3 linked regions of the Alligator mississippiensis genome follow. The protein of the gene in region 3 purifies or fractionates together with the protein of the main gene of each other region. This does not show direct contact. Links are inferred from orthologs where the notes say so. Each region holds a gene or a part of one and is shown on either strand. Other genes may lie near its edges.

Region 1 (8,433 bases), on a different chromosome or scaffold from region 3:
CTCAGCTTCCTAGCAGCCCCTGTGGCGGCAGCTCACTCTGACCACCTGCCACTACCAGTCTCCACTGCTGGCCCCAGGCCTGCTGCCTGGACACCCCGCCCATCTGCCGGGGGCACTGGATGGAGCAGGTGGGCAGAGTCTCCATGGAGACCAGCCTGAGACCCCAGCAGGCAGGGTACGCTTAGCTGGGCGGAAGGGATGGGGCAGCAGGTGGGTGAGGAGCAGCGTCCGGTACCGGGATGGGCAGGCAGGGCTGGGATCGTGTGGCAGTGACAGAACAGGGCCAGGGCCCAGGGCAGAGCCACAATCCACTACCTGCATGTCCCTGCCCATGGAACCGGCACTTGTTGCAGGGACATGTGGAAAGCAGATCACAGTTCTACCCCAGACCTAGCCCTGTGCTGTCATGGCCCTGTGATCCTGGTCCCGCCTGTCCATCCCACTCCCATGCACAGCTCCCTGCCCCCAGTACTAGGCAGAGTGCACCCTGTCCATGGCCTCATCTGGTGCCCCTGGCAGTGGGTGTGGGAAAAATGGACCTGGACCTGAATAGGATCAATTCCTCACCCCAACTGCACCAGACTGAGTCAGCACCTACCCTCCCTCTGTCAGCCTACAATAAACAGCTCACGAAAACTCCTTATGTAGCTCTCCAGCCCAAATAATTGCCCACCCTTACCTTAGAACAGACTGTCCTAGCCAAAAGCAGCTATGGGAATGAATGCAGGCTGCTGCTGTGTCCAAGTCACTCACTGTACATCTATTTCCTACACAGAGACCTCAACTTTGACCTGCATGGAAATCAAGGTATGCTCATTTACACCAGCTTAGAACTCCTAATCAGTATTGGTAAAATACTGTCAGCTGCCTGAGCCACCAATTCAGGAAAGCATGTAAGCATACAAAGTCAAGTGTATCCAAGCAGGCAAGTGCTTTCCTGAACTGAGACAAAATAGGACAGGCTGTGACCTTATTAAAGCATAAGGTGGTGACTGAAGGCCTGATACAAACCCCACTGATATCGATGACTCCCCTTAACTGGATCAGAAGGACCATATCCTTCTCTAAAAATAGTGGGTGTTTGGAAATGCTACTGAGGTGAGGAAAAACATGTTTTGATATATTTGAATTTCAAAGCAGCTTCTTTATGGGAAGCACCCACTGTACTGAGCTGAGGAAAACAAAGAGCAAGACAGATCAAGTTGGAAACTAGAGATGAGGAATGTGAAAGCCAGGTCAGCATTTGCTTAGAAATACCATGGAGTAGCATGTGAATAGGGCAGAGGATAAGAGACAGTACAGCAGTGCCACCACCTGGGAGAAAGAGAGGGTGGCAATAAAATAGAATTTATAAAGAAATTCCAACACAACTCCAACTTTCCCATTAAACAAAAGCAGTGACTGATGGATAGAAATATACTTAATCCTCCAGCATAACTAACCTTCTAGAAGGGCTGTGATGAAGCAAAACATGAGGAGCTTCAGATGTATGAGGTGTTGTCGCTGTAACTTTTTCAGGACAGTCACAGGCTCTGGTGTTGCAAACAGTTTCATATGTGCTTTATGTCTTAGCAGGACTGGGATTTAAAGACTTAGGGCATTTGTACACAGTGCAGCGTTTGATCCTCATTAATTTACCAGGCCTTAAAAATTTTAACCTGAGTTATTTTGGTGCATCATGTTTGTGTTTGCACGCCATGGGCTTTCAAATGACTTAAGTCCCATTGCCGCAAATTCCAGTAAGGGGAGACAAATACCAATCTACCTCTAGTAATTAGGGCTGTGTGAAACACCACTGTTCTGTTTCGACTTGTGTTTTGATGTTTCAACGGAACAGCGTTTCCTTTCGAATTTCACTTCAATTCAAAACTGCTGTTTCGTTTTGTGTAAACGGTTTTGCTGTTTTGACGCTGTTTCGAAGTTTTGCCCATAGGCTATAATGGGGAAGGTTAAAACAGCCTATAACTTTGTCATTTCTAGCCTGATTTGGATGAAACTTGCAGGAATGGTAGCCCCTTCTAAGGGCATGAAGCCTGCCAAGCTTCAAGGAGATAGATGCAGGGGTTTATGGGAAACCGCACCTCAAGCTGCAGACAAGCAAAACTTGTGACATGGGTGACACTGTGTGTGTTAAGGCGCAGCAGGCTGAAAACTGCAGGCATGCTAGACCCTGACGAGGTCATGAAGCCTGCCAGCTTTCAAGGAGATAAGTTCAGGGACTTCTGGGTTCTGGGGCCCTGCACCCCTAGCTGCTGACAGGCAAAACTCGTGACATGCATGGGTGACACTGTGTATGTGTGTTAAGCTGCGCCCTCACTCGACTGACACCAAGGCAGAAAACAGGGCAGTTCAAACAATGCTGCCTTCTTTGCAGTTTTTCTATCCCTCCCCAGAGCACTGGGATTGGAAGGGACCTCAGGAAAGGATGACATTCACTGGCCAGCTACACAGTCAATAATGAGAGCGCTCCTTCCCCTCTCTACCCTCTCCCTCCCCTTACTTTAGTTTCTGTTTCCCTGCAGGCAAGCCCAGCTTGAGCTTCGAAACTCAAAACGTTTTGAAAATTTTGAAACGTTTTGACTTGTCTTGTTTTGTTTTGAGGCTGTTTTGAAGCTCTCTTTTTCATTTCGATGTTGCTGTTTTGAGCTCAAAACTAGTCGAAACTGTCAAAATGAAACTGCCGGCGAAATTTCGCACAGCCCTACTAGTAATGTCTTTTCTAATGAGTTACAGCAGGAGGCGCCTGTTTGTGCCAGTAAACTGGGCTCCCTGCACAGTCCTCAGCCCTCTACCTCCCACTGGGAGTCTCATGCTAAGCCCCCCACCCCACTGCAGGACACAGTCACCCCAAAACCCTGCCTTTTGCACCCGCTTAGGCTCCAGCTGGTCTCCCAGTAGGCAACCTCATGGTGATCCCGTCGACAAGCCTTGTGAATCATCTCCCTTTTCCTTCCCCCCATGTTACAAAGTAATGATCATTTATATATATGATTTTTTTTTACTATATAGCTGATATGATATCAGAAATGTACAGGGTTGAAAGGAGCGGGTAGGTGGTGCCACCCTGAGTGGTTGGCAATTGTAGCTGATGGTGGTGGTGAGGTGGACAATGTTTCGTGTTGTGTTGCCGAAGCAGATGTGGATCGACATCTAATGTGGAAACTGTTTGCAAATACTCTTTGCCTTTCAGTACTAGGCCTCATGCTTATAGTTTAGGTGATGAATCACACTGGCAGTAGAGCAGAAGCGGAAGTTAGACGTGTTGAAAGATTTTAGGAGGGATATGAAGGAGGAAAGCAAAAATCCTAGCACAGGGGAGCTGTGAGCACACTTCCAGCACAGAGAGCAGCAGTGAAGTATGGCTTCTACCTTCTTCTGGTCAGTCTTTTCCTACACAGCAGCCTGATCAAGTTCTTGCACAGCGTGGAGTCACGTTAGTAGCATTCTGCATATAAGCAATAGCCTCCAATGTTACAGGTTTGCTGCTATAGAGATGCTAGAAGAGCCCTGATCAGTAGTGACACAGCATTTGCTGAGAGATGTAATGCATGTCTATATGTGCACTTTAATGCACATTAGCTTATTTTAATGTGCATTAAAGTGTCATAAAAAGTGCTCTTTAACTAATACACATTAAAATAGTCTAATGTACGGTTTTCTAGTACCTCACAATGGAGGGTGCCTGTACCTAAACTGGGAGGCTGTTTTGCCATGCTGTAATTACAGTGCATTGGAGCAGACTTGATTAATCGAGTCTGCTCCAGCCAGCCTCCACCTCTCATGTGTCAGCGTCCCTGCACTTCAAAACTTCAAGCTCATTGAACCAGCTTTAAAGGACCCCCACCACCATTTTGGAGCGCAGGGACTCTGATCAATGAGAAGTTCTGGGCTCTTTAATTAGAGTGGCTCTGGAAGCTACTCTAATGAAAGCGCTCCCCTCTCCCTCTCCCCGATCCCACAGCATGTGTAAAAATGGCCAGAGATACTAGATTTAATAAGCGTGGCCTAAAATGCATTTATGAACACACAGACGCACCTTTAGTTAGCCACATTAGTCTGAAGTCAATTAAAAGGAAGGGTGGATTTCCACCTTATAGACTGACCAAAGTGTGTGTGTGTGTGTGTGTGTGTGTGTGTGTGTGTGTGTGTGTGTGTGTGTGTGTGTGTGTGTGTGTGTGTGTGTTGCCATCAGAAAAAAAAGAAAGCCCAGTAGGCACGTGCTACTGAAAGTATCTGATGAAACGAGCTTTGACTCACCAAAGCTGGAAGGGGGATACACGTGTCTGTGTCTATGGGTGTAATTAGTCACCAAAGCTCATGCTATACACGTTTATTGTAGTTTTTTCTGTGGGATATAAGAAAATAATGTTTTCTGTTTCCAAGGCTGAAATACAAACTTCACACTGGTTTTAGTGAATCTTGGAACATTTTAATATGGCAGCAAAGCTCTGTGATGTCTGACGGACTCCACTGACAATCTACCTACAGCTGTGGAGCCTCAGTTTTAATCTAGCCTCCTTTCGTCAAATTTGGCGATTTCGTTTTGAATCATTTCTGTCTCTTTTGTCCTTTGCAGCTGGATTCAGGTCAGCAAGACTTGTACCGTACGTGCATTTGGGGGCGGGGTGGAGAGGGGCGCTCTATGTACTGCTTTGGTTAGTCACCAAAGTTTGTGATAGATAGATAGATAGATAGATAGATACGTGTTCTACTTGACCTTCCCAAATAAAGTCAGCCAGGCAGACGAGAAGCGCCCGCCAGCCCCGCTGGAATCTCCCCACAGCTTCCGTCGACCCAGGTGAGCAGCCAGAGGAGCGGGGCGAGGCGGGGCGGGGCTGGCAGCTGCGCCATTGGCTCGCAGTGCGGTCCCGCCCCCTCCCGGAGCGTTCCTCCCTCCAAGTCTCGAGTCCTCCTAAGCAGCCGAGGGGTGGCAAGAGCGGCTCTGCGACACGGTTCCCACTCCTCGCCAGTGGTGTGGGAGGAAGTGACGCGAGCTCTGGGCCGGAAGCGGCGGGCGGCTGTGGCGCCTGCCCGGGCAGGAAGATGCCAGTGGCGGTGATGGCGGAAAACGCCTTCAGCTTCAGGAAGCTGCTGGAGCAGTGCGAGACGCAGGAGCTGGAGGTAGCGGCGGGGCCAGGAGGGGCAGCAGCCGCTCCCCTTCCGCACGGGGTCGCGCCCGGCTCGGGGGGTCGCGCTGGGCCCCTGGGGCTTCAGGTCCCGCTGCCGGTGGCGCGCGCGGGGCGGAGCCGATGCTAAAAGGGGCGGGGCTGCCCCACGTTCGCCGCCGCCTGCCGCGAACGGTCCAAACCGGCCGGGCAGGGGGAGCAGCGGATCGGACGTGGGACACGGGGCAGGGAGCGGGGCAGAAACGAGCTGATCGGACATGAGCTAGTGAAGGGGAAACAACAGAGCAGCAGACTGGACCTGGGAGATAGGGCAGGGAAGAGAAAGAGGGGCAGGTTGGAGGTGTGACACGGGGCGGGAGTAGAAAGCAGAGTAGCCGATCGGACACGGGACAAGGCATAGAGCAGAAAGCAGAGCATCACATCAGACATGGGACACAAGGCAAGGAGCAGAACGTAAAGCAGATGGTTGGACTTGAGTGCATGGAGCAGAAAGCAGAGCAGCAGATCGGACATGAAACAGGGCAGGGAGAAGGAAGCAGAGCAGCAGATTGGATCTGCAAGACAACAGAGAGAGTAGCAGATTGAATTTAGGACACAGCAGGGAGCAGAAACCAGAGCAGAGCCATTTTCCTTCCTAGGTGGATGGCTGGTCAGTTGTGGGAACTTGTATGGGCCCCTTCCACTTCTTGGGTACGGACATGTATAGCAGTTTGTGCTCTTGTTTAAATTTCACTGGGATCAGGAACAGAGACGAAGTTATCCATCCTGGGTTTGCAGGTGGCCTCTGCTGCACTTGGAGAAGGTTGGAGCTGGTGGAGCAGGCAGTAGCTTATTTGTCTCTAGCAGTGGGGACAGGCACCACATAAACCTGTCAGGTTTACTACGTCTTCTTTCAGGGGTAGTTCTCTACTGAGTAAAGTTACCCCCATCCTCCTTTGCCATTTGTATTGTGTTTTAACTTTGATGTGATGCTGATATTACCAGAGAGAACATTTTGTGTCTGTCTGCTGGTTTTTCCAATGTCTGTGAGCTAGGAGTGCATAGATAAAGATTTTTTGGGGGCTGCTACCTGTTGGGGTGACTGTATTTGGATCTTGGGGAGTACTGGATTTGCAGCTGAATAAAGGCTTTAATCTGTGGCTTACAAAAGCTGCTGACCACAAGGCAGAATGGTGTATTAAAAGTAACATTGTGAGATGCTTAAGCAAGTAGTTTTCTGACCATATAGTAGTGTTGTAGGATATGTAACTCCTTTATATAAAAGAAACAGGATGCAAGCCACCGGCTGTCATTAGGAGATAGAGCAGATTTTGCTTATGAATGCTTATGCTAAGCCATCCATTTGCTTATGTGAATTAACCATCTTAACTGTGTGAACCATTCTTCTGAAAAAGCAGCAAGTAAGTCTGTGTGTTGCGAATGAGGTAATGTAAAGATGGTACAATATGGGACTGAAAAACAGACTGAAATGTGAAAGATGACATATCATTGGTAACAGAATCTGAAATAAACATATGTGAAAAGGTGAATGGTGATTGGTAAAGAAGCTTCCAGGTTTTGGCTGAAGTCAGCCCAGTGACCGAAAGAAGTGGAGTCAAGGTCTTAGTCGTGTGTTCATAGCAAAAAGACATGTAAATAAGTGAAATGCATAGACAATTCCATGCTAATGAAGTAAATGGTAAACAAAGGCAGAGCTTGAGATGGGAGGGACAAAGGTGGAGTAAATATTAATAAGTATAAACCAAAGTGTATAAATATGGAAAAAAACGTATGTTCACTGCTGCTCCCCAGTTTCTTTGGAAGCTTGCCCGAAGCTGTCTGCATTTTGAATAAAGCTGTTGCGAGCAATATGTGCTGGTGTTTGCTGCCTGCTTGTTCTGGCTAATGAGCAGCTGGATCCATGAGCAATTGGATAGTTGTCTCCCTAGTCGTTGGGAGCCGCATGGAGCCGGGATCTAACAATACCGATGGCTGATTTATTAACGAGCCATATCAGCCAATACCAGTCCAATTGCCAAGATGCAGCCTAGCAGCTTGGAGAGCACCGTCTGGCTGGTAAGTCTGTTGGGGGGGAGGGGAGATCAAGGTCCCCCTTGGTGACGGAGGGAGTGGGGCTGGGCAGGAGCAGGCACTGCACAGCCGTGGTGGGGCAGGGCATGGGACAGAGCCGCGGCTCATCCAGGCGGTGCAGGGGGAACAGCTTCCGTCACTGTGTGCACCCCTGGGGGAGCATGGGGGGAGTGGGGGATAGGGCCTGGGCTGTGCTCAGGGTAGGCAGGGACAGGGTGGATGGCAGCTGTGCTGGGAGGGGGGCTATGGCAAAGGGTGACTGTAGCCCATCCCATAGTCCTCCTCCCAGCACTGCTGCTGCCCACCCTGTGCGCAGCCCAGGCTCAGCCTCCCACTTCCCACTGGGAAGAGCCCAGTGGATCCCCGGCCCTGAGCATGCAGCAGCCTGCCCTCGCTCTGCACACAGATCTGGGGGGCTCATGCCTCTTCCAAGGTTGCATGCAGTGGTGGAAACCATCCCCCCCCTCCCTGCCCCCCACACGCCTTCTGGACGAGCCGTGGCTCCAGCCCACACCTCGCCCCACCCCAGTTGTGCAGCCCCTGCCCCGCTTCCTCCCTCGCTGTGGGGGCTTGATCTGCCTCTCTCATGCCCCTTCCCCCCCACAGGCGGGCTAGACGCTTGTCTCCAAGCTGCTGGGCTGCACTCGTGGCTGCATGCACGCTGCGGCTGTGCACATGCACGCAGGCATTTATCAGCTACATTATTGGCCATGTAGCCAAAAGAAATCTAGTAATGTCAGTTTCCTTTTTATCGGTGCCGACTTACAATATGGACCGATTGATCAGGGCACCTCCATTGCGAGCGCTGTTTTAGTTTGTGAGCTCTTCAGGACACGGACTCCATCTTTTGGGATGTTCATATATAGTGCCTAGCACAGTAGAGCCCCAATTTCTGTTGGGTCTTGCTAAAAATATTTCCTTCCAGGGTGGTTTCAATACAGTGTTCTGTAGCTTTCAGCTAGTGAGTATCTAACTGCTTCCTACTTGAAATCTGCACATCCCTCTCTAGATGCTTGCAAAGAGGTCCAATTCTCTTTTCTTTCCCTTCTCATTCAGAGTACATTGGCTGCTGCGAAGATGGTAGTCTCCACTAATACATCTTTCCTTGGTCTGTGTTTTTAATCCTAGTCCTCACTGTTTCTAGTTCCTGTCTCTTGCAGTGATGTGAAAGTCTTGTCAGTTTCTCTTGTGCACCTAGTGATCTAAGTAGCAGCCAAGGAAGGTAGAAAGACTAGTT
Region 2 (7,836 bases), on a different chromosome or scaffold from region 3:
CATCATCATTGCTGCCATCATTGTTTTCATCCATCTCTTTTTTAACAGTGGATTCTCTCTTCAAACTCTTCCCGTTCCCAGAGGGGCTTGGTAAACCACTATAAAGGTTGCACAAAAAAAAACTTCAAAGTTGTGGGTTATATCATCTTGTTTGTTTAAAATGTGGAGGGAGGACAATGTCTGTACTAATTAGAGGAACACATGTAATATGACAACGTTATCAATAACAACAGCTGCAAAAGCTTAGAATATACTTAAAACCTAAACCACAAATACCAGCATGGACACAATCTTTGCAAGCAATACATGGATGATAAACACAAAATATTTCACTGGCATTTTTAAGTCTGTTTATGTTGCATTATAAAATGCCTCCAATTTAAAAAAAAAACTATAATTTGGGGGGTCTTAAGTCCTTAACAACTTCCTTCTGAAATTAAAATACACATTAAGCTTGGAAAAGCCTCAAACGCTTTCCACCCCCATTCAGTTCCATACACTTGATCCCATGAACATGCACACAAGTAATTTGGCTCATATGTGAAGCTATGATGAACAGAATGGTACCAAACAGCAGAAGTAAATTTCTCCTATATGAGGTTTGTTGAACTGGGTGTTAAGTAAACATGTTTAGCAATGGACATGTAATAGTTGTATTGATGCAGTCAGTTAACTTACCTGCACATTTCCTCCTCTTTAGGATTTCCTTCATTTTTTATAGCTTTGTTATTTTTCCCCTTTCCTCTTGACTTTGATTCTTTTTGGCTTGTAGCTCTAGTTGCTGGACTGTAAACTCTAGTGTCACCATCTTCTTTCTTCTTCTTCTTTCCACTGAGGGCCTTTGAGACACTCCTCTTCAAAATAGGCTTTTCCTCTTCAAAGTCATCTAAATTGGAACAGAGGGAAAGAAGTGTTATGGAGCAAAATCCTGGCTCTCTTGAAATCAACCATAAAACACCTACTGACGTCAATGGGGCCGAGTTTCTATGGAGCAAAAAATGCAGGCTAAGAGCGAACAAACTGCCTTTAAGGATATCCTTAAAACAAATGGGTAGCATTAAATCAAAAAGCACGTGTGAAATAAAATTATAAGGAAAGTTCAGCTCAGAAGACAAAAGATTTATTCCTGGGTCTTTTCCAATGATGACAAAAAAAAAGCAAATATTCTTGCTTCAGTACTGCATATTGAAGCATCTACTGCATAAAAAAAAATCTCTAGGCAAGTGGAATTTTTGCAAGTTTGATTTAAATAACCCCTTTTCTCAAGAGTCTCCTGAAGCAACAGCAAGCTGCTTTCTTAACCTGCTGCGTCTATGTACTACTATGATGAATTGGATAGATCTTACACGTATGAAATCGATCTGGTTTCATGCAACATAGCAGGCTTACCTACCTTTCAGATTATGGCCTAATGTAGTTGAGATAAAGTTAGACAAGTTTTCACATGTAAGATATTTTTCTCAGGTCTTACATGTGAAAGCTTGCTTATTTTCATCCCAACTCCATAGTTGGTCCAATCAAAGATCTCACCCTATGAAATCCTTGCCTCTTGCATTATTTCTGGATCATCATAGTTACAACATCACTCTTACACTACCATAGAGGGAGAGAGCATTCACTTAGATAGCTCTAGAGCAATCTACACCCCGCTGGCATTCAATATCCCCCCTGGTATCCACGGGCAAATCTAGGATTTTGAAAAGAAGGGTGCAGATGGTGTAGAACATCATATCATAGGATCACAGAAAATTAGGGTTGGAAGGGACCTCAGGAGGTTATCTAGTCCAGTGGTTCTCAACCTTTTTTTGTACAAAGACCCATTTGTAAACATTGATGGCCAGTCCCGACCCAGTGCCCCTCACTCCTGACCGACTGCTTTCTGCCGCCAGCTCCCCAGTGTGTGGGGCAGGAGTGATACATGTGGGGCATATGTGTGGGGCGTGGGGCATGGGGCATAGGGCATATGTGTGGGGCATGGGGGGCTCCAAGCAGCCCGCTGCAGGCGGGAACTCTGACAACCTGCAAGAGAAAAGCCACCGTTTCCCACATTTTATTCCTTTAAAGGAGAATCCATTTTGTTGATCCATTTTTAAAGTTTGTTCAAGACCCTCTCTCATATTCTTGCTACCCACTTTTGGGTCACAACCCATATAGGTAGAGAAACACTGAGCTAGTCCAACCTCCTGCTCACAACAGGACCATCCCCAACTAGATCGTCCCAGTCAGGGCTTTGTCTAGACAGGTGATCTGCCGAGGTCCCTTCCAGCCCTAACGTCCATGAAATCTATGAAAAAATCTCCAAGGATAGAAATTGAAACTAAAACTACACCACTATCCTTCTACTTCTTTTCCTTCCATTATAACAAGGCAGGTTGTTCATTCATTTGTTGCTTCCACCGTTTTACAGACAGATATAACCAAAGTATAATACAAGTAACTGTAATTTGAATCAATAATACAATGAGCAAAGGGCTGTAATAATGTAAATCCTTGGATGAAGATCCGATGGGTCAGGTTATCCCACCGGTTGTCTGCAGTACTTTCTTGGATGCTAGCACTCAGTTCCTGGAGCTGTTTGTTTTTTTGATCCATGAGCATCCCCACAACTTTCCCTTCTTCTTTTAGGAGAGACCAGTCTTTCTCTATTTACCAATTTCTTCCAGCTCCTTCCACAGCCAAATGTGCAAGTTAAGGCCACCCACACGAAAGCGCTGTACTACGGCTTCTGGGTCAATCTGTTGTGCAACGATCCCAGCGCTCGCCCCTAGGAGCCCAGGGCAGGGGGTCGGACTTCGTGATCCGTTCAGATCCCTTCAGACCCTAGAAACTAGGAAACGCTTTATATTTGATGCCTGGGATCCAGGACCTCACCCGTCTGTGTGGAAACGTTACGGCACCACGCTCCCTCTTCACGACCGCTCCGGGTAACCTGTGCCGGTGCTTTTCTACCCTCCTTGCGAAAGCTTTTCCTAATATCCTACCTAAACTTCCCTAAATGCAACTCACATTTTTTTTCCCCCTCCGGTCAAAAAAGAAACTTGACGCTTTATTAATATGCTAAGGGGGGGGGGGGGGCACTATACTATTAGAGCAAAAAACAACTATAACTATTGGAGTGCGCGTGAGTTTTCTAGAGCATATATAAAACTTAAAAAAAAACCCAAAATAGTCAAAGGGTATCGTATCGTCAGTGCTGAGGTCATCAAGAGTGAAAGGCATGTCTGTCACTCAGTTATATAACAAGATCCAGCCGTGTCGGGCTCTGGTGCTTTGCTGTCAGTCATTTCCACACCCGAGTTAACGTCTCACCGCCCCGGCACCGAGCCCGGCTTCACGGTCCGCGATCCCGGGGCCTCCAGCCGGGCCGCCGCCGCCGCACTCACCGTCCGACCCGCGCGGGGGCTTAGGCCTCTTGCTGGCGGCCTCCCGCGCCGGGACCCCGCGGCGCTTTCTCCCCATGCCGCAGCGCCGGCTCCCAGCCCCGCCCACCTGACGTCCCTTCCGGCCCCAGCACCCCGCCCCCCTCCCGTGAGACACCCGCCCCCTTGAGGTGAGCGGTGCCCATTTCACAGCTGCGAACACTGAGGGCTCGCGGGGAGACAGGCCACGCCCTCTCCCCTCGCGCGACGCGTGACGTCATCACGCCCCCAGCCCCGCGGGATGTGGAAGGCGGGTTCGTGGGATCTCGCGAGAGTTCGTTTGAAAGATGGCGGACGAGGTGGACCAGGTGAGGCGCTTTCCCCGAGCCGGCTCGTGTCATCCGTGTCTCGGCCGCGCTGGCGAGGCCTGAGCGCTGGGACGCTAGTGCTGGTGGGGCGGGCGCAGGCTGCCAGGCCCTCGGGGGATTATGCCCCGTTTGCTCAAGTTGCCGCTTCTGGTGGACGCTGGCTTGATCGGGGTGTCTGTGACACAACAGCAGTGTCCTCGCCCTGTCTCTGCCTGCGAGCCCCGGGGATTAGCACACGCAACGTCCAGGGGGTTTCATGCTTGTAATAGGAACCGCCTCGTTTTTTTCTCAGCAACAGACAACCAATACCGTAGAGGAGCCGCTGGATCTCATCAGGCTCAGTCTAGATGAGCGAATCTACGTGAAAATGAGGAACGATCGAGAGCTCAGAGGGAGATTACATGTAAGCGAAGATCACAGAATCGTAAATAAGGGTTGGAAGGGAGCTCAGGAGGTCGCATCTAGTCCAACCCCTGCTCAAAGCAGGACCAGCCTCAGCTAGATCACCCCCGCCAAGGCTTTGTCTAGTCAGGTCTTAAAAACCTCCAAGGCTGGAGCTTCCACAACTCTTGGTGATCTGTTCCTGTGCTTTACTACCCTCCTAGTGAGGGACTTTTTCCTAATATCCAACCTAAATCTCCCTTGCTGCAACTTGAAACCGTCGGGCATTTTTACCCATGCATGTGCCACAGCGCCGGGCGCTTTGAAAAGCACGTGATGCTGCAATGCATGCGGTTGGGTAAGTGGTGAAGTGCGCGTCAGAGCGTGGAAAATGGCGGTGGTCCACTTTTGAACTAAAACACATCAAAGGTGTTTTCATTCAAATGCACGCCGCTGCCATTTCCTCCGTGCTGGTGTGCATTTTGCCATTTATACAACTGCAGATGACGCAGTGCGGTGTGCATCAGCTCGTGTGCAGAGCAGACTCAGTTAATTAAGTCGATTAATCTGCTCTGATGCACTGGATCTGTGGTGCGTGGCAGCATGAAAAAGTATGTGTATAAATGCCCGTTGTTTCTTGTTCTGTCATGTGTCACCACTGAGAACAGTCCAGCTCCATCCTCTGCAGTCCCACCCTTCAGGGAATTGAATGCTGCTATTAAGTCCCCTCTCAGTCTTCTCTTCTCTAGACTAAATAAGCCCAGTTCCCTCAGCCTTTCCTTATAAATCATGCTCTCCGGCCCCCTGTCCATTTTGTTGCCCTCCACTGGACTCTCCGATTTGGCCGTATCCTTTCTGTATTGGGGGCCCAAAACTGAACACAGTACTCCACATGTGGCCTTACCAGTGCTGAATACAGGGGAATAATCACTTCCCTTGATGTGCTGGCAGTGCTCCCACTAATGTTAGCATTCTTTTCAACAAGGGTACGCTGTTGGCTCATATTCAGCCTATTGTCTGCTATAACCCACAGGTCCTTTTTTGCAGAGCTGCTGCTTGTCCAGTCAGCCCCTAGCCTGTCCTGGTGCATAGGATTATTCCATTCTAAGTGCAGGGTTTTGCACTTGTCTTTATTGAACTTCATGAGATTTACTTTGGTCCAATCCTCCAATTTGTCAAGGTCTCTCTGAATCCTAGCCCTACCCTCCGGCATATCTACTACTCCCCGCAGCTTGAGTATGCAGATGACACCAGCTCCATCCCATTATCCAGATCTGTGGAAATACTTGGGATCAGAGGTCAGTTGGGCTGCAAGGAACCTCTTGAGGTTGTCTAGTCCAGCCCCTGCTCAGGGTAGGATTGCCCCTGACTAAACCATCCCAGCCAAGTGCCTTTCCGACTTTCTCTCAAAAACTTCCAAGGACAGAGATTCCACAGCTTCTCTAGGTAGCCTGTTCCAATGCTTGACCACCCTCATAATCGGAAGGTTCCTCCTAATCTCCAACCTAAATTTCCCTTGCCGTAGTTTGAAGTCATTGCACCTAGTCTCTTTCCCCTATAGTTACAGAGAAACCCCATCTCCATCATTTCTATAGTCATGACTTGGGTATTTGAAGGCTGTTATCAAATTCCCCTTGGTCTTCTATTCTGCAGGCTGGTGAAGGCTGGTTCAGTAGGTAGTATTAGAGACAGATGATGCCTTCATTTCTGTTGTAATGGTGAACTTGTCTGTAGTGCTGCATGCAGGTTACCATAAACTAAATTATGATCTTAATTTAGGGGTCGGCGTCTTTTGACATGCATGTTGTAAGTGGCATACGCTGCATCTATGAGGCACAGGAGATCAGGGAGGCAAAAGAGAACACGGTGGCAGATAGGGCAGAAAGTAGAGCAGGCAGAAGAAGGGAATTAGAGTGACGGACTGGGAGGGTGCAGGGCTTACCATTTGGGTTGGTCTAATAAAAGATATCAAATTCACCCAAGGAACCTTGTGGGCTTACCATGTGACACTTCAGCCAAAAAGTTGGCTTCCCACTGATTTAAAGTTGTATGGCAATTTTTGCACCTGGCACGCAGCACAATCATATCTTGTGATTAGAAACATCTGAAAGGTGGCATATTTCCCCCCTTTGCAAAAGAACTTACTCCTGCTTTCCATACCAGATGTTCTAACAATGTGATAATTCAGAGCAGTGATTGTCAACCAGGATAGCACAGTTCCTCAGGCTGCCATGAGATTTTTTTCAGGGAGTGCTGTAAACAAGTGATCCAGTAAAACTGCCCTGCATGTAGTGCACATCCTTCCTGCGTTAGGGTTCTCTAATAACTGTAAAGGAGACAGCAGGGTCAGCTTGTGCTGTAGCCCATCCCAGTTAACCCCAACCTCAATCCCCTGACATGCCAAAAATCAGAGGCATGCATGACAGCTCCACTGTCCCACCTGACTCTTCCTGGGAGATATTGTGCAGTGGCAGACCTAGAATGGCTGCAGCACAATCCAATAGGGCTGCGCAAAGTTTTGGGTACTGATTTGATTCAGAGGAGATTTGGCCCAATTCGGTAGCCAAATCTCCGAATCCAAATCAAATCGGGACCAATTAAAAGGTCCAAATCTATTCGAAGCTCTCTGAATCAATTCAGAAAAGATTCAGAGAGGTTCGGTGATTCAGGCAGTCCGCACCCCCTGCAGCAGGTATCTGGACCTGGACTCCATGCTGGTAAGTAGGGGCTGGGGGAGTGGGGGCTGGACAAGATGGGGGGACCCATAGGGGGACCCCTGCCAGGCCTCATCCCCTGCCTGCTCCCCCCAGCCCCATCTCCCAGTGCTTTTAAAAAAAAGCCCCTACTTGCTGGGTGCTGTTCAGCAGGGGGGCAATCCCTCCTGCCCCCCACTGCCCCATGCTGCATGGGGGGGTTCTGCCACGAGCCCTCCTGTTTCCCCCCCCCCCCCCCAAGCTGCTCTACCCACCCCAGTTCTGGCCCTTTAAGAAAAAAATCAAAAAAATAAACCCCCAGACTCACCATCTCCTGCAGCAAGCTTGCGCAGAGCCGTCCGTCCCCCCCCCCCCCCAGCACAGGGCAGTGCGGGGCAGGGGGATCTCACTCCACTGGGAAGCACCTGGTGAGTCCAGGGTTTTATTGTTTGGGTTTTTTTTCTTCAAGGGCCAGGAGCTGGTCCATGTGGGGAGGTTGAGGGGCTTGTGACAGAGCCCCTCGTGCAGTGGGGGGCAGTGGGGATCCCCCCACCCAGCAGCACACAGTGAGTCGGGGCTTCATTTTTTTTTTTTTTTCCAAAGTGCTGGGAGCTGGGGTGGGCAGGGCAGCCATTAAGAGCAGGCGGGGGTTGGGGCCTGTGTGATTTGGAGATTTGGCAGCAGCCGAGTCTCCAAATCAGATTCAGGACAGTGATTCGAATCGCTGTCCCCCAAGTTAGACGAATCTGAAGTGAATACTAGCCGCTTCGCACAGGCCTACAAGCCAGCTCTTCTGTCTGCTTTAGGATTATTTGAGAACACCAGTGTAGAAGGTGTGTGCACGCATGCCACAGCCTTTCTTGGTCTGGCTGTGCAGCAGGTGCACAGGGAAGTTATCTTTCAGCAGCAGTACCCAGTTGAGAACCACCATGCTAAGTTGCACACCAGTAGTGGTTTTCAACTGAGGATAAAACCTGCCTCATCTGAAAAAAAAATTAAATAAAAAAATAAAGAAAAGAACTGTGGAGTTGGTGC
Region 3 (8,063 bases):
TCCCATAAGCAAAATATAGCTTAAGAGTGACAGCCCTGAATGTATAGAGACACAGAGTCCTTAATGCAAGTCTACAAAGGTTCCTGGGACTGATCACTGAATATCAACACAAAAGAATTAGCCCTTGTTTCTCTGGACAGGACCTTAAAGAATAGCGGCAGAAAAATGTAGCACCTGGCTAGAACTGGCACCCAGCTCTATGAAACAGCTTACTGTTGGCTGCAGCATGATATCCAGGTGGAAAGGCTGGTGTAAATAGCATGGTGTGTATTACTAACCTGTCAGTTATGAAACAGTGTGAGGAATTAACATGAAAAAAAAACTATTACCAGGATTGCCTGCCTACAAGGAAGCAAAAATTCAGCCATTCAAAAATTTCACAAAGCTAAATCTATGTAAACTTCCTTGAGCCCCATTTTATAGTGATGAGCTGTGACTTTCAAGAAAATGCTATATGTGCAAGCTCACTGCAGTCTCTAAACAGATTACTGGGGGAAAAATATTTATATTATCCACCCCTCATGTAGAAACATAAGCCAATCCCAATGCTCCTGTCTGAACAAGTTGTTGGCTCCTTGATATCTTCCTATGCCAGCTATCTGAAGATTTGGCTGATAGTTTGTTCAAATTAGGCCTTGTGGGCAAAAAAGAAAATGAGAGCCCAAGGGAGATATACCTGTATTCTCTGGGGGTTTCATAGCTTTTCTCACAAACAGTCTCTTTGCTTGTGGCTCATTCTCTAGTTCTCCAGATTCTCGTTTCCTTTTCTCAGCTGACTTTGCCTCTTCCTCTGGCTGATGCTCATGAGCCTTCATGTGCTTCTTTTCCTTCGGCTGGTTGGCAGGGACCATTCTGTCTGAGCAGAAAAAGCAAACAAAGTAAGGAAGCTGTAATTGTCACTGCTTATGGCTAAAAAAGAGAACTGCAGTGTAATGTGCCCTGATTATGAGGCTATGCTTGTGCTACCCTTCATCACTGCAGCGCTGGCTTTTTGCATCCAATGATGTGAGGAGGAAACACGGTTCAATAAACTGCACTTTGTGCCTCTGTGAAAATGTGTGGCTCTTAAAGCACTGGGTTATCTGTTCTAGCAAATCTGTTTTTACAAAATAACCGAGTTTAAAATTTACTAATCCGGACGAAGCACATTTGTGCAACTTTAAAATGCAACACTAGTCTTTGCAGAAGCCCTTGTTACTTCATGATATCTCTGGTCAGGCTCAGCTAGGGAAAAGGCCAAGTGCTTTTGTGGCTTAATTAGAACACGGCCTCATCAAGCACTGTCATTGAAAAATAGCTTCTGAACACATGCAATCAACTCTCCTGGACTCTTAGATCATGCTTCTAGATGCTGTAGTGACACAGCAAATACTGGAAGACTTCATGCTTTTCTGGATCATTTACAAAGAGATGTTGGGACAGAATTAATTTGACCCCACGTTGTAACGCTCTGAACTAGGTTTTCAAAGTGATCCTTTCCGTCCAAAGTGGAGAGCCTCCTACTCAGCCTTCCTCCTTGGTCTAGTATAGGAGCGTACGAAGCAGAAAACGTCAGCAGCAAATCTCAAGTACCCTCCATGGAAACTAGCTGATACTGTAACAGGCTGTTTTATTTTTAATTTGTGAATGAATGTCACCAACAACTCTCTAGCGCCAAATGGCGTTAGGTGGGCAACAAGCAAGCTTCCTCATATAGCATCCCCGAACTGGCTTGGCGCACCCTCTACCTTTCCCAGACAGGGCTTGACGTAGCTCTGGCAGCACCCAGCCTATCCAGCACGCCTGCACAGCCTTGCTGCCGTCTGCCCATCCTCACCCGCAGCTGGGGTGGCCGTCACAGAGGACGTTCCGGCTTTCTGCTACTCTGTCCACTATTGATACGGAACCGGACGCCTTCATGCCCTCTCTTTTTCTCTTCAAGAGAAAAAACAGAGGACATAAAGGCATCTGGTTTTGTACCAACAGAGAACACAGGATAACCAGACTGTCCTCTATGATGGCCACCCCTACCCACAGCCCTGGAGGCTATTCCAGTGCCGGCATCTGAGGGCCAGTCTGGTTGGCACCAAATCAACTCCAGGGAAGGGATGGCCCAGCCCCACCTGCCCATACGCTTCCCAGCGCCAGCGCCTCGAAACCTTTGAGGCCCCCTTGAAAAGTGCCAGCTCTTGGCTTTCACTTGCTTTTTTGGAGGCCGGAAGCATGACAGAGCTGCGGGCCCCAGGGGCGTCTCTGGGCTTATGGGGTGCACGGCGCTGGCGCAGCCTGGAAAGGGACCCCTGGCACCCCGGGGCGCTGCCCGAGGACCGCACGGGAGGCAGTGACGGCGCCCCAGCTACGCCGCATCCACCTGCCCCGGGCCCTGGCGCCCCGGGCGGGGGGCCGCGACCAGCCAGAGCCCCGGCACCACCCTCCCCGCGGCCCTCACCTGGGCTCCCGCGGCCTCCGCTCCCCGCCCGCCCGGCTGCAGCGCGCCCTCCCCGCCTCCCCGCCCGGCCTCGCTCTAGCCGCGGGCCGGGGCTGCCGCGTGAGGCTGCGCAGGAAACAGGCCCCGACGCGCCGGGCTACGCCTCCGCCTGCTGCAGCGCCGCCCTCTGCGAAGGGCCTCCTGGCTCCCCTGCACGGCCCAGGGCCCGTCCTTCCTCGTCACGGAGAAGCCGGGCTGGAAGGGGCCTCCAGGTCGTCTCGTCCAGCCCCCCGTGCCTGAGGCAGGCTCAGCCCTATCCCAACTGTACATCCAAACCTCTACCTAAGACTGTCATGCACGAGCCAGCTCTGCGGCCACTGCTTTGGGCTCACGTGAGCAAGGATTCATTTAAGCAGCCAAGCTGGAAGCCCAGGGGGGGTTACGCCAGCCCTCTCGCCTCAGCAGGGAGCGCAGTGCCCAACATCTGTGTGACTCTTGGCAGGACTGTGAAGATGGACCATGACCAGGCATGGGAAGGCTCTGGCTCTTGCTGAAGACAAGAAGTCGTCCCTTAAAAAGTGAAGTCTTAACTCTGCAGCGTCACTGAGGCAGCTGCGCTGACAAGCACCCCCGTGGCAGCTGTGTTAGGGAGAGAAATCAAAGAGAAAGTAGCAAGGTTTTGTCCCTGCCACAATAATGCTTACCTGGACAGCCCCAAATCTCGACAGGAAAAGGAGGCCAGCAAAGCAGCCTGTTATCAAACATGTTTTCTAAGCTGGTGGTTCTCAACCCTGATAGCCTCAAGGCATCTCTTGGCAAATACCAGTGGCCATTTTTCCCTTGTTTTTTATAACTACAGAAAAATAAGAGAGAGAGAGCTGTTCTGCCATTGAAAAGAACTAACAAAGACCACACCTGGGCAGAATGATTTTAACACTTCGGATTCCTAGTTGAAATCTCTGGGTTTATTTTGTGGATCGTGTTTGCATATCTAACAGTACTAACGTTGTGTGGTGCCCCGTGGCACCCTTGAAAGGATCTAAGGCACCCCAGGATACGTGGCACCCTGACTGAGAATCACTGTCCTAGGCCTATATGTGAAGACCAGTTTGGTCACACACAGAAGTTTACAGAAAGCTTCTGACATATCATTTGATAACAATTTATCAGGTTCTTAAATGTAGGTTTCCTAGACAACCTTGTTTATCGGTTTTATTTTTTGTTTGAGTGATAAACGGGTGCATAGGATATAATTTTGTGATGTCGGTATGGGCTTCAGTTAGTGTTCCCACACAGAGCTATCTGACCCTCACAAGACTACTTTCTAGGGTTGTTTTCAAAAACAGTCTCTGCTTGTAGTCTAAGCCAGTGATTTTCAACCTTTTAAGTAGCAAGTATCCCCTGACTGCTGAAAATTTTAATGAGTACCCCAACACTCAATTTTCCCAGGGATTTTATATTTGCAGACTAACGTGTTGGAAGAAGGGCTGTGTATATAAGGCCATGATATGACAGATGTCTGATCTGGTGTGGGTAGGGTTGCCACCTTTTACACCAGGGGTGCACAACTCAAGTATGTACCTGGGCTAGAGGTGATGTTGGCCAAAGCTAGGAAGGCTGAACCCAGTGCCGCACAAAGCATGGCATGCCAAATTATTATTGGGGAGTTTATTCCAATTTTTTTTATTCCAATTTTTTTGCCATAGTTTTGAGAGCAGGAAGGGGCAAGAGAGAGAGGAAGATGGGGAGAGAAAGAAAGAGAGAGAGAGAGAGAGGAAAAGAAGGTGAGAAAGAGATAGTGTTGGGGTACCTGCATACCCCTTGCCTGTGTCTTGTGTACTGCCAGGGGTATGTGTACCACAAGTTGAGAAACTATGGTCTAAGCCAGGCAGAAGTAGGGAGGGAAGGAGTAAGGTATATTAATTCAGAGTCAACTGCCACACTACTACAAGGGAACCATGTTTATCCAGACCTGTTAAGCCTGTTGATTTGTGAAGTTTGTGTCACCTAAACCTAAACAACAACAACACTAATAATAGATGTCTGGTGAGGTCCAAAAAGGGCTTTATAGTAACCAAGAACTGTACTACATAAATTGAAAAATGTTAGAAACATCCACAAGAAGTTGCAGCTGCATATTAGAGATCAAGGAAAAACATGCATTTAGAATGTAGCTAAAGCAAATTCAAGAAATACAAGATGCAGTCTAGCTCAAATTCAAGTTGCAAGATCACTTCAGAGACCATTAGGATTCTCTGGTCTCTGAACTGATAACTGGTACTTTACAACATGCAGCAATGGAGGATAAAACAGACCTAAGCTATCACTACTTTGCACTGCACCTTGGTGGGTCCTTAACATGCTACTCCTATAACCATTCAGAATAGTCATCCCTACCACCAGCTTATACATACAAATCCTACGATATCTGTGTGTGCAGTTCTCAAAAGATACTATTGCTGCAATGGACACCTATGTATAGATAAAAATATTTTTCTTCCTACTGGAATATAATAATGTTGCATCAGTCACTTACACCCTATATGACAAACATAACATATTGGATATAGCAACTTATTAGGTGGGGAAAAACTATACCCACCCATGGAAAACACTTAGCTCCCACTACATTATTGTATATGTCAGCCTCTGCACATAATTTTCAATCATCTTCTGCAAAAAAAAAACCCAAAACACAGCATCCTTTTCAGTGCTGAATCAATTCATAATCATTCAAACTAGCATCTGTCATCAGGATACAAGACTCATGAAATCCCGAGGACCTGTTAAACTAGATCCCTCAGGAACCTAACGGGGGGAAAAGACTTCTTACTGTATACAGGAAAGGGAAGTGTGTTCAGCAGTATTCACAGTTTCCTAGAGACTACAAAGGAAAGAGGAACCTGTAAAGTTAAATAATAGATAGCAAAAAGTACTGATTATATTACTTCCATCTTAACCTCTACTGTTTTCCTCAGAATTAAAAAAATATAGATTCTTACCTTTCCACTGAAAAGGTAGGGATGAGATGGAAAAATTCCCATTGACTTCAATGGAATATGAAACAGTCCCAAAGTAAAGAACAAACTGTGATCCTGTTGTGCTAACTTTGCAGAAAGTTGTTTCCAGCTAAGATGTGAAACTCCCTTTTCCTATCCTGCTCACCTTCCTGAGGTGTTAACCGGAAAGTGGCCCAGAAGAGATTAGGCACAGTAACCTATGGACTTTCCACCTAACTAGAGTGGAAGTGATTAATTAATCTTTAAACAAACATGAGGGGCTTTTTTTTAAATCAAACACTAACACTGTCCTGATTTTCCCTTTGGAAACTCAACAGGTACCTTGGCAATTACCATTCTTACATAATTTGTTAAGAGCCAACTGTGCTGGATGTTGTGCAAGTCACAGAAAGAAACAGACCTGAAAGATAAAAGCTTTTGAGAAACCCTTATGCAGTCAGAAGACAACAGGAAAGAATAATTTTAATATAATAATGTTATTACTTGTATTACTGGGTCCCAGTGATGGTATAAATTCAAACAAGTCACAGGCCCAGTAGCAATCACAATTTTAGACATGTCTAACACTTCATTCTGCTTGGACAGGGTTAAAGTATCTGGAACATGACTGAAGCCCTTTCTGTACTTTGAGGGTAGCAATATTATAAGGGAGGGTCCTGATTTGGTGGTATATGTAGAGGTAATTGGGCCTTTTGCTTCACAGTGCCTGGATCTTTGCTAATGGAAGGTTTTGCTTTCTTGGACTATATTAGTTTGTACTTATTCTTGTAATTTTAAAGAGTGTAACATCTGAGCAACTTGATTCTCACCAGGACATGGAAGCAATTAAGAATTCCAACAAACCAAAAACATTAGGGAAAAAAACTGCGTAACCCTAGCAAAACTGAACCTCCTCCTATCCCAAGATCTTTCCCATCAAGCTGCCCCTGCCCTGAGAGAAAGAAGGTAACATTATCTACTTATCTCCTTCTTTACCTGGACACTCTGTCCTTTATGAGCCACACCTTCCTCCCAGAGGAAAGGAAAGACACATTAGAGAGAACATAGCATGACATCAGTGACTCAGAGACAGAAACAGGAGACTAAACCTCACACATGGTATGAAACTTTGTCTTGGGCAGTTGCTGGATACACAATATCTGCCTCTGACTGCTGAGATTTTTCCTTTTTCACACTTCGAATTGTTAATTGAACTAATGTATTGAAAGTGACATGAACTATGGTGGAGCATCACATTATGTTACAGAGGTCTACTAGTTTCTTTCCTCTTGCCTTCATTACAATATGAACACACTGATTAGTCTTTCCTCTCACTCATCTGCTTATGTTTTCTGGAGTAAGGCTTCAGATCTCAGAAGGGCATTGGGTGCTTCATCACTTTTGCTCCCCAGGAACTGGAAGCAATTAAAAAACAAATGGTCCCAGAATACACTCTGAATAACCAGGCCCAACAGTCATGGAGTGGATTTGTCAGTGCTACGAGTGATCTTTCCTTCCTGCCTGCCTTCTGTGGGGGTTTCAATCTTCCCTTTCTACTTTGATTGAATAAATGTCATTGTGAGTCCATAACTGATCCTGGTGTTTGATCCTCTAATAATTTAGAAGCAAGTGACAGGAAAATGGCCCAGCATGGACCTTTCACTCCCTTAACTTCATGCTGAATCATGGCCAAACTCTGGTTTAGAAATGGAAACTTTGGTGGGAAGACACAGCGGGCAGGTCTACACTTGTGCTTTAATTAATAGATTCAGAAGGGACCACAAAGGATCATCATGTCTGACCCCCTGCCCCTGGCAGGAAAGAGGACCAAGGTCAGATGACCCCAGCCAGGTGTCTATCAAGCCTCCTCTTGAAGACCTACAAGTTAGGTGATAGTACCACCTCTCTTGGAAGCCCATTCCAGATTCTGGCCACCCTTACTGTAAAAAATGTCTTCCTAATGTCCAACCTGAATCTTCTCTTCACTAGTTTGCATTCATTATTCCTAGTTACTCCTAGGGGTGCTCTGGTAAATTGTGCATCTTCAATTCCCCATTGTCCTCTGTTGATAAACTTATAGGCAGCTACAAGGTTCCTAGTTCCAAGGTTCCCTCAGATGTCTCTTGTGGAGGCTGAAGAGATCCAGATCCCACAACCGCCCCTCATAGGGTCTTTCACGAAGGCCACTAATCATGCGAGGGGCCTTCCTCTGAACCCTCTCCAGATTCTCTGTGTCCCTCTTGAAGTGCGGTGCCCAAAACTGGACACAGTACTCCAACTGTGGCCTGACCAGTACCGCATAGAAGGGGAGCATCACCTCCCTTGATCTGATACATCTGCTAATGCACGACAAGGTGCGATTGGCCTTGTTACACTGCCGACTCATATTCATCTTGGAGTCAACTATGACTCCAAGATCCCTCTCAGCTGCTGAGCTGCTGAGGAAGTCATCCCGCAACCTGTAGGTGTGCTGGGGATTCCTCCTCCCTAGGTAGAGTACCTTGCATTTATCTTAGTTGAACTGCATCCTATTTCATTCTGCCCATTGATCCAACCTGTCTAGGTCAGCCTGCATCTGCTCCCTGCCCTCTGGCGTGTTAACTTTGCCCCATAACTTGGTATCATCTGCAAACTTCAAGATGTGCATTAGCCTATTT

What was found. The genes of interacting proteins can lie anywhere in the genome.
Region 1: the proteins of DDB2 (region 3) and COPS8 purify together in Homo sapiens (affinity purification with mass spectrometry; 6 studies listed by BioGRID and IntAct, counting the BioPlex papers as one, with this or other methods). This does not show direct contact. The link is inferred for Alligator mississippiensis from reciprocal best matches to the Homo sapiens genes DDB2 and COPS8.
Region 2: the proteins of DDB2 (region 3) and XPC purify together in Homo sapiens (affinity purification with western blotting; 5 studies listed by BioGRID and IntAct, with this or other methods). This does not show direct contact. The link is inferred for Alligator mississippiensis from reciprocal best matches to the Homo sapiens genes DDB2 and XPC.

What each region holds. Positions count from the first base shown.
Region 1 is NC_081827.1:186,157,186-186,165,618, forward strand, and holds the start of COPS8 (COP9 signalosome complex subunit 8), read left to right. Parts: upstream 1-4,941; 5' UTR 4,942-5,043; coding exon 5,044-5,121; intron 5,122-8,433. UniProt on the Homo sapiens protein: Component of the COP9 signalosome complex (CSN), a complex involved in various cellular and developmental processes.
Region 2 is NC_081835.1:16,881,212-16,889,047, reverse strand, and holds the start of XPC (DNA repair protein complementing XP-C cells), read right to left. Parts: upstream 3,493-7,836; 5' UTR 3,460-3,492; coding exon 3,384-3,459; intron 2,955-3,383; exon of another isoform or gene 2,872-2,954; intron 2,783-2,871; exon of another isoform or gene 2,651-2,782; intron 887-2,650; coding exon 679-886; intron 99-678; coding exon 1-98. Other genes in the region: U6 snRNA-associated Sm-like protein LSm3, read left to right, coding at 3,707-3,727, 4,020-4,130. UniProt on the Homo sapiens protein: Involved in global genome nucleotide excision repair (GG-NER) by acting as damage sensing and DNA-binding factor component of the XPC complex. Has only a low DNA repair activity by itself which is stimulated by RAD23B and RAD23A.
Region 3 is NC_081825.1:227,869,826-227,877,888, reverse strand, and holds the start of DDB2 (DNA damage-binding protein 2), read right to left. Parts: upstream 3,290-8,063; 5' UTR 3,173-3,289; coding exon 3,112-3,172; intron 2,824-3,111; exon of another isoform or gene 2,763-2,823; coding exon of another isoform or gene 2,750-2,762; intron 2,534-2,749; exon of another isoform or gene 2,429-2,533; intron 857-2,428; coding exon 677-856; intron 1-676.